Linked DNA regions of Cricetulus griseus. The protein of the gene in region 1 purifies or fractionates together with the protein of each later gene. This does not show direct contact. Links are inferred from orthologs where the notes say so. Each region holds a gene or a part of one and is shown on either strand. Other genes may lie near its edges.

What was found.
Region 2: the proteins of Tnfaip3 (region 1) and Rnf11 purify together in Homo sapiens (affinity purification with western blotting; 3 studies listed by BioGRID and IntAct, with this or other methods). This does not show direct contact. The link is inferred for Cricetulus griseus from reciprocal best matches to the Homo sapiens genes TNFAIP3 and RNF11.

The regions. Positions count from the first base shown.
Region 1 is NC_048595.1:270,723,894-270,727,943, reverse strand, and holds the start of Tnfaip3 (tumor necrosis factor alpha-induced protein 3), read right to left. Parts: upstream 2,801-4,050; 5' UTR 2,564-2,800; coding exon 2,155-2,563; intron 1-2,154. UniProt on the Homo sapiens protein: Ubiquitin-editing enzyme that contains both ubiquitin ligase and deubiquitinase activities.
Region 2 is NC_048595.1:40,350,283-40,354,527, reverse strand, and holds the start of Rnf11 (RING finger protein 11), read right to left. Parts: upstream 2,801-4,245; 5' UTR 2,344-2,800; coding exon 2,221-2,343; intron 1-2,220. UniProt on the Homo sapiens protein: Essential component of a ubiquitin-editing protein complex, comprising also TNFAIP3, ITCH and TAX1BP1, that ensures the transient nature of inflammatory signaling pathways. Promotes the association of TNFAIP3 to RIPK1 after TNF stimulation.

The sequences.
Region 1 (4,050 bases):
GAATTCCCCAGTGCGAAGATATTTGACTAGCAATTGAGCAACAGTTGTTGTACGTTTTGTTCTGGTGTGTAGACATTTAAACTGCGAACTGCACCCTGGACTTTCCAAGTGGGTGTGGTCAGGCTGAGCTGGAACCCGGCTACTCACTATACAAGTGAAATTGCCACAGCCAATAGACGCTGGAATTTTCATGAAGTTTCAATTTTATGCCACCTACTCCCTTCCTCATTCACCACAGTCTCATATCCTCAAATGCAGACTCCTGAATCACCCCCTCCCCAAATAGACCGCCTGTGAAGGAACCTTCCAAAGGGGCCAGGTTTGTAAAAGGAAAGAAAAGATGCTAAGAAAGCCACTTGCCACCACCACCCCACCCCCACCCCCGCCCAAAGGTCTTTTCTTTCTTTTGCATAACTTTAAGAACTTTTCTTCAAAGCAGAAAATTTAGGATTCTGGGACCCCAAATCCACATTTTCCCAACATGTTACCAAAATGCCTTTGCTTTTGTAGTTTTAGCAGTAGCATGAACCCTTTTTGATTTAAATGGCAAAGGAAATGTTTAGCATTTATATTGCTTTTTTTCTCCTCCAGGAAATCAGATATTTCCTCTGTTAAGGAAATACTATATAATGTCTGCTAGTATTCTGAATGGTAAGCAAGATAAGGCTTTTCTTTCTCTATCCCATTTCTAATTCTCTCAACTCCATCTCTCTTTCGGTAACAGAATGGGACATGGTGAAAACCACAAACTGTCAGGTATATAAGCCCCTTGATGACAAGTTAACATAATTATCTACTTCGAGGCATCACTTGACTTAATGCCAAGAACAATGTAGATAATCACTGTCTCCAGTTTTCTTTTGACTCTATTTCTAAGAGTCTAAGCTTCATAAATATAGGGAAGATGTAGAGGTGATATACAAGAGTCCCCGGAATCAAAACAAACAAAAGCCCACATCAACCCATCACCAAGTTACTCAAGTCAAGAACAGCCGAAGTTAATGTACCAATTAAGTTATTAAGTTAACGTTCCTAGCACCATCATTGCCAACAGGGATTTTCTCCTCTTGGATGTATTATTTTGACCCACAGAATGCAGTTACTGATACAAGAAAATGAGATTGTACTCTTACCAACACTGTAAGTATTTAATTGATCTCACACAATCTCCATTCTTATAATAAATGTCTATGCCCTAAAGGCAGAATTTCTGTAACTGCATGAAACAATATCATTGGCTGTTTCTGCACCATGTACATAATCTTTCTCAAAGGATGTGATTTGGAAAAAAAATACAAGACAGTAAAACTTGACATAGAAAAGAGTTATCAGAGGTAAAGGACTTCAGTTGATTGAATGCCAAGAGCAGTGTGTAGAGAAGTTCTGTCTCTCATTATCTTAGGCAACAGAACCTAGGTGAGAGAAGTAGAAACAAAAGCATCCCCTGTCCTTAACACCCACTTGTTTGCAAGTCTAGAAAATGCCATCAACTCAGGAAGAGCAAGAGCATCATAAGCGTTTTTTCTAATGACAGCGGCAAACAACTGTGACACTGGTTCTCAGTGTTCTACTTTCCTTTTGAACTTAAAACCTTTTAAATCCTTTCCATTCTGGCCAGTGAAGGTTATAGATGATTTGGCCAATGTAAGCATTAGGAAGATTAATCTCCCAACTGGGGCAATGGGGTTTAGAAATGCATTCCACAAGTCTTCATGTCCTCTATACTGTAACTCTCTCTCTCTCTCTCTCTCTCTCTCTCTCTCTCTCTCTCTCTTTCTCTCTCTCTCTCTCTCTTTCTCTCTCTCCCTCTCTCTCTCTCTCTCTCCCTCTCTCTCTCAGAAAACACCTTAAAAACACCTTAAATAGAAATATTCACCAACTGGATATAAAGATGCACACTTGCCATTCCAGCACTCGGAAGTTGGAAGCAGAAAGATCACAAGTCCAAAACCAGCCTGAGTTATACAATGAAATCCTGTCCCAGCAGCAGACTCAAATACATTCATGACCATCACCTTTCCCTTATGGAGGGTCTTTCTATAGGTGTCTGCTTAATGGCATTAAAACTTCATGGAGAAGCATTAGCAGAAACACCTCCCCCCCCCCCGCCCCCAGGTCAGTAGAAGGGTGCTGGGAGAAAAGAACAAGCCTTACCATTGGTTTTCAGAGCCACGAGCTTCCGGACTTCTCGACACCAATTGAGCTTCTTCTGGTTTTCCAAGGAAGCCTGGACGCTTCTGTCAATGAGTGCCTTGTGGATGGTCTCCCGAAACTGTGGGCAAAACTGACACATTCTGAACATCTCCAGTGTGTATCGGTGCATGGTTTTAAAATGATGAATGATCCCATTGGTAGGTTTGAAAATATCTTCTGGAGTTCTCTCTCTTATCTTCACAGCTTTCCTCATATTGCTCAAGTACAAAGCCTGAGGAAGGAGTTGTTCAGCCATGGTTCTCCTCAACAAGGCCTGAAGAGGAAGGGGAAAAGCCCGTTCCGTTAGCCTGCCTTGAACATTGTTCCCATGTACCTGTCGGCAAGAAACCCCAGTGTTTGATCTTGTCATTATTCTAATCTGTAGGTAAAAGATCTTAGTCACCTCTACTCCTAGGATACTAGCTGGCCCTGCAGATTAACTCACACTGGACTGTTTTAAGTTACATCACTTTTAAAGATTAGTCTAAACAAGAGAAGGGAGGCGGAGCGTGGGTAATGAGGAGGAGGGGAATAACCCATGCTTTCAGTAGTTTGTCAGGGAGCCAAGTCTGTCTGTCAGTGACAGGTCCTGCTCCACAAAGCCAACCTTAGATCCATTGGATGTCACCCAGGACCTCTGAATGTCAGTACAGTGCTCACCAGAGTCCTAAGTCCACCACCTAAGACCACCACCATTCTGTCCTTGCTCTTGAGCAGAACCTAGATCCAGGTCACTCAAACATCCCCTACTTGATGCTACAAAGGCAGCAAATATTTGATGGAAATCCCATGTGGCATTTAGCTGCTGCCTGGTATTTCCTCTATGGTACTGGCCCCCAAAGAAAAGTAATACATACTTGGTTCAGGAGTTTATGATATTTATAAAGAGTCAACACCAGATTGTTTTATAACTAACAACAAAATAAAGCCTTTTTTGGCAAGATGCTTTGCAATCTTAAGAGCAAATGTCAGCTCTACTTCAGAGCCCTGCCACTGAACTTCATAACATGAGACAAAAAAGCAGAGTAATAATGAGGTACACCACACCTCCCAGAAAAAACAAGACACCAGATTGCCCCGTGATTTCAACTCAACTGACAACAAACTCTTATTGCTGACATGCAGGTACCAATGCCTAAGACACCGCCCCTTCCTCATCCTTCACCTAGAAGACCAAGCACAAGCAACGATGGAGAAAATGAAATATAGAAGCAAATAGGAAAAGCATCTTGGCCAGGCTGCCACTCAGGACAATGATGAGTAGCCACATGACTACTCAAGCCAGTTGTGCAAGGCTGTGTACTGATGCACAGGGACATCCTTCCAGAGTGGAGCAATGCTGAGCCAGTTCTGCTTCACTGTCCCCATGGACCCTTAATAGGGTACTTGGCCACACAACCTGATTTCCTAGACGACAACAATGGCATAGAGCACCTAAAGAGTTTCATGGTGAAGCTTAATTCCATCAGGCATCATGCTATCTGCCAAGGCAAACCCACCAGGTAAAAAACGGTGTGGTGACTATGCAAGAAGAAGAAAGCTAGAGATTAGAGAAGCCACTCCCGTGTGGGTCCAGATTCTCTTATGCCTGATAAAATGGTCTAAATTTTTGTGCCTAGCTTGAAAGAGAGGGTTGTTACTAGGGATTTGCATTAGAATTCTTAATCTAAATGCTAGCTAAGGCCTAGAACTCATTCTCTTGTGTGATGCCAGTTATTTCTTGCAACTGGAATTAGGCAAAAACACTGTAGGGATGAGATAAAACTATAAATATCACATTTACATCTCCTTGGTGATGTAGCAAGGATCTCTTTCATGTTGTCATTACTCCATCCATCCATCCATCCATCCATCCAT
Region 2 (4,245 bases), about 230 Mb from region 1:
TACTATTTCTTTTAGCTTCCAAGTCATGTAGAAACAAATATTAGCAATACAGTATAGACTTCAAGGAGGCATTATTATTTCTACAGCTTTCTTTTAAAAATTCTTGAGATAAGATTTCATTCTATAGCCCAGACCAGCACAGACATCACTATGTAGAGCTGTCAGCAAACAATCCTCCCGCCCCAGCCTTCCTTCCAAGCATTAGGATGACAGGCATGAGCGACCATGCCAGACTAAAATTCTCTTTTTATGTTCTGATACTAACTTTGCATATCAGTATCCGGGTCGCTCATTCATTTCAGGAAAAGGCAACCACAATACAATTTCCACTGTCAAAAATAACACATTCCAAAAAATACTGGAAATACCAAAACCCATCATGATCTACCTAGTCCCTCTAGAAAGGACAAAAATATAGTTTCTATAAACTCTAACAGAGAAAACAAGTCAGGTATTCAATTTTCCTAGAAAGAGGCTATGAAGCATAGATTTTGGGAGGAAAAAGTTTGCTCATGACACCTAAATTAATACATTTGAGTAGCTATCGTAGAGGGGGAAACAGTAAGCTATAGATACCTGAGAGAAAGGCCTAGTGGTGTATAGGCCTCTAATTCTAGCAACTCTGGAGGCGGAGACAGTAGGACAGAAAGTTGAGGGCCTGTCTGGTGACTTCATGAAACAGTTTTGTTTTGTTTTTTAAAGGGTGGTGGTGGTGGTGGTGGTGGTACTGGAATTATAGCTCTGTTGTAGTGTTTTGCTAGCATGTACAAGGCTCTCAGTTCAATTCCAGATCCCATTTAGTATTAAAGTCTGCTCTTGGAGCAATTTAAACAAGTTGGGAGAAATGGGGTACACTGCATTTTTATGTGACAGGAATTGCATGAAACAGTGAGAACAGAGCTTCTATTCTTCATTTATCTCAGTTATTGAGCATCTACTATGAGTCAGATGCTGGGGTAGAAAAGCACCTGGAAAATGTCCCAAATTCAGCTTATACAAGGGGAGGGGAACACATATTTCAAGGATGAGACACACAACTGCCTGAACAAAGATACTAAACTATTATAGGCAGGGTATTGCTTATATAAGTGTGGAAGGTTTGTGGGGGACACCTCCAGGAATTCAGGAAGGGAATGTCAGAACTTTAGATAGTGAGCTGAGTCCTTGAAGAGGATTAGATATTCACCTGGGCAACCTTGGGGCAAAGGCTCCTAGAAGCAAGATCACCTGGAGTGAAGACGAAATTGTCAGAATTGTCAACAGCCTGGTTTGGTAAGCTTGAAATGTAGAGGCTACAATGAAGACTGGACTAATGTGCATGGAAGACCCCTGAAGAGGGTCAGAAAATCAGCGTATGTGATCACATGATGGGAAACTGGTTTACACAGAATTGAGAAAGGAAAACACAAAACTAGATAATGATGTCACCACATAAAAAACAAAGGAGACTGCCAAGTTAGAAAACCCACCTCTCTCCAGGAAAATACTGAAGAATTGCATTCAAGCCCACCTGGGAGTTTACTCAGTTATCACTGAGAAAGACTCATTCAAGAGTCTTGATAAAGAGAAGGCCTTAAGTAACAGATGTCTGAAAGGTCTCTAAAGTTCAAGATAATCAAGGTTTTATTAAATCAACTTACTTAAAAGGTGTGTCACAGGGGTGGAGCAAAAACAGGAGGAGCTTAAAATTTACCACGTATGTATATATAAACAAGTAACTCTTTATGAAGCTGAGGCTAAAATTCCCACTTGGAATTCTACCTCCCCAAGTAGATGGTAAAAAGACATTCTCCCGAACCAATTAACAAAGATAGGGTGGGAGTAGGGAGGACTATAAACGAAAACACAATTATAAAGGGGGGGGGGTGACAACCTACCCACAACCCATAATCCTGTTGGCAGTCTGTTGAGGAAATCACACAACTCAAGACATAAAGGCAGGAAAACCATGTCATCCTTAACTCTACAAGCTAACTACCAGACACTAGCCAAGGGGATATGATCACATAGTTTGATTCCTGAACTCAAGGACAGAACACCGTCCCCAAACGGTGCCCAAGGGGAAGGCAAGAAGGATCCTTCTCTAGTCGGGGACTGGGCAGCAGACACCCTCAAGACCAGCCCCGAAGGGGTCAACGCCCCCCGAGGCCAGGCCGTGGAGGCCAAGGGCAGAGGGCCCGAGCCACCTCTCCTCTCACGCCAACACACACCCTCCCGTACCTGATATGGCGGCGGCGGCTCCTGATCTGGCTCCGTCCCCTCGCCAAAGCTAGCCCGGTCGGACTGAGACTCGTGAAGCAGGGAGATGTCATCCGAGGTCGGGGATTTGAGGCAGTTCCCCATCTTCCGGGGCTGAGGTGTGTGCGTGAGATCTGGGGGAGGAAGAAAGCTGTGACCCGGTCTCCCGCACACTCAGCGGTGAGCTCGCCCGGCGCCGCGGGGTCCAAGGCGGCAGGCCCGGGGCTCAGGAGGCGGCTCCCCCGCGCCCCGGCGCCGCCGAGGGGCCACTCATGCCAGCCCCCGGGGCAGGGGGCGCGAGGCTAGGCCGCGGGCTGCGCCGGGGTCGCGCCGGGAGCCTGAGGGGGGCGGGGGCGGGGAGACGGAGCGCTTCCCCCACCCCGCCCCCCGCGAGGCGGCGGCGGCCACGGGGCTGCTGGGCCTAATCCAGGTCAGGAGGGGGGGGCGCGGCCGTCCCGGCTGCCTCAGCTGCTGCCTCAGCGGCTGTTGCCCCTGCCGACGCTGGAGCCGCGGCCTGGGGCCTCATCCTACTCCGCCTTAGCGCGGCGGCGGCAGCCAGAACGAGGCCAGCCGGGCCTACGTCACGCCGCCGTGCGTGCTCTGGCCCCGCCTCGGGCTCCTTGCTCCCCGCCCCCTGCGTGGTGCTGAGTTTAAGGTGCTGACTGTGTGTCCGTCAGTCTCGGGCGCCCCTCTGTATCCCGGCTGCACCCTGCCGGCTCGCGGCGTGAGGCTGGTCCCTTACCTGCGCAGCGTCCTCAAAGACTGTTCACTCTGTCTGCGAGGTGATGTTTATATGCCCGCATGTGAATGGATTAGGCAGATAGCTGAGGTGTTTAAACAGCTTCTTCTTTATCCTTTCAGAATAAAGTCCACACTTAATGCCACGCCCTGTGTTTCCTATCTCTGTTCTACCCTCCCGGCATCACACAGCTAAGAGATTATCAGATTGTTTCATTTCTTTCCAGTCCCACCACCCCTCAATCTAACGTTTGCAGTCGATTGATTCTCAGTCTCCCTGCATTCATCATTGCCCCCCCCAACCCTTTGAATGGTTGAGGATTTTTGTTTTTTAATGCCATATAGTTGCACTTAAAATTTCTAGTAGCTTCTCAGTACTTCCCACAGAATAATCTTAAGAAATCTGGATCTCCACGGTACACACCTTTAATCCCAACACTCGGGATGCAGAGACAGGCAGATCTCTTGAGTTCAAGGCCATCCTAGTTTACAGAGTGAGCTCTAGAACAGCCAGAGCTACACAGACAAACCATGTCTTGAAAAAAAAAAAAAAGACACCCAACAGCAGGGCGTTGGTGGGGCACGCCTTTAATCCCAGCACTAGGGAGGCAGAGGCAGGTGGATCTATGTGAATTCAAGGCCAGACTAGTCTCCAGAGCGAGTGCCAGGATAAGCTCCAAAGCTACACAGAAACACCCAGTCTCCAAACAAACAAACAAACAAACGCCTATTTTATTAGCAGTACTGTCCCCGTTTCATAAATTCTCAACTCCAACATGGCCAAAGTGCTTTTAGTTATCTCAAAGACTGTTCCCTAAGGCTGGGATTTCCACAGACAGACCCTACTTCTGACCTTCTACCCCTCATTGGGCTAATCATTATTCCCAAAAGTCCTTCCTGGATTCATTTTTGTTTGGCTAGGGAAGCTTTTTCTGACCCTCCAGTCTGGGTTAGTCTCCTCCTCGGAGTTTCCAGTCCCTGTGCCTTTCTGTGAGGTGGATCAAGCTGAATGATCTGTCCCTTCCCTGTGTAGGCCTGGCATGCTGCCTAAGGTAGACTCTTTTCCTTGGTTGAATGAACAAATAAATGGTCAAAGAGCATATGCAAAGAAAAGAAAGGAAAAGAAGACAGATGAGGCTGTTCTCCACAGTCATTCCTTCAACAAGAAGGCAAGAGGTTGACTTTGATCGGTTTTTATTCACCATTTACTGACTTATTATTATTCTTATTGTCAGGCCTGATGCCAGCACAACTGATTTATAAAACCTG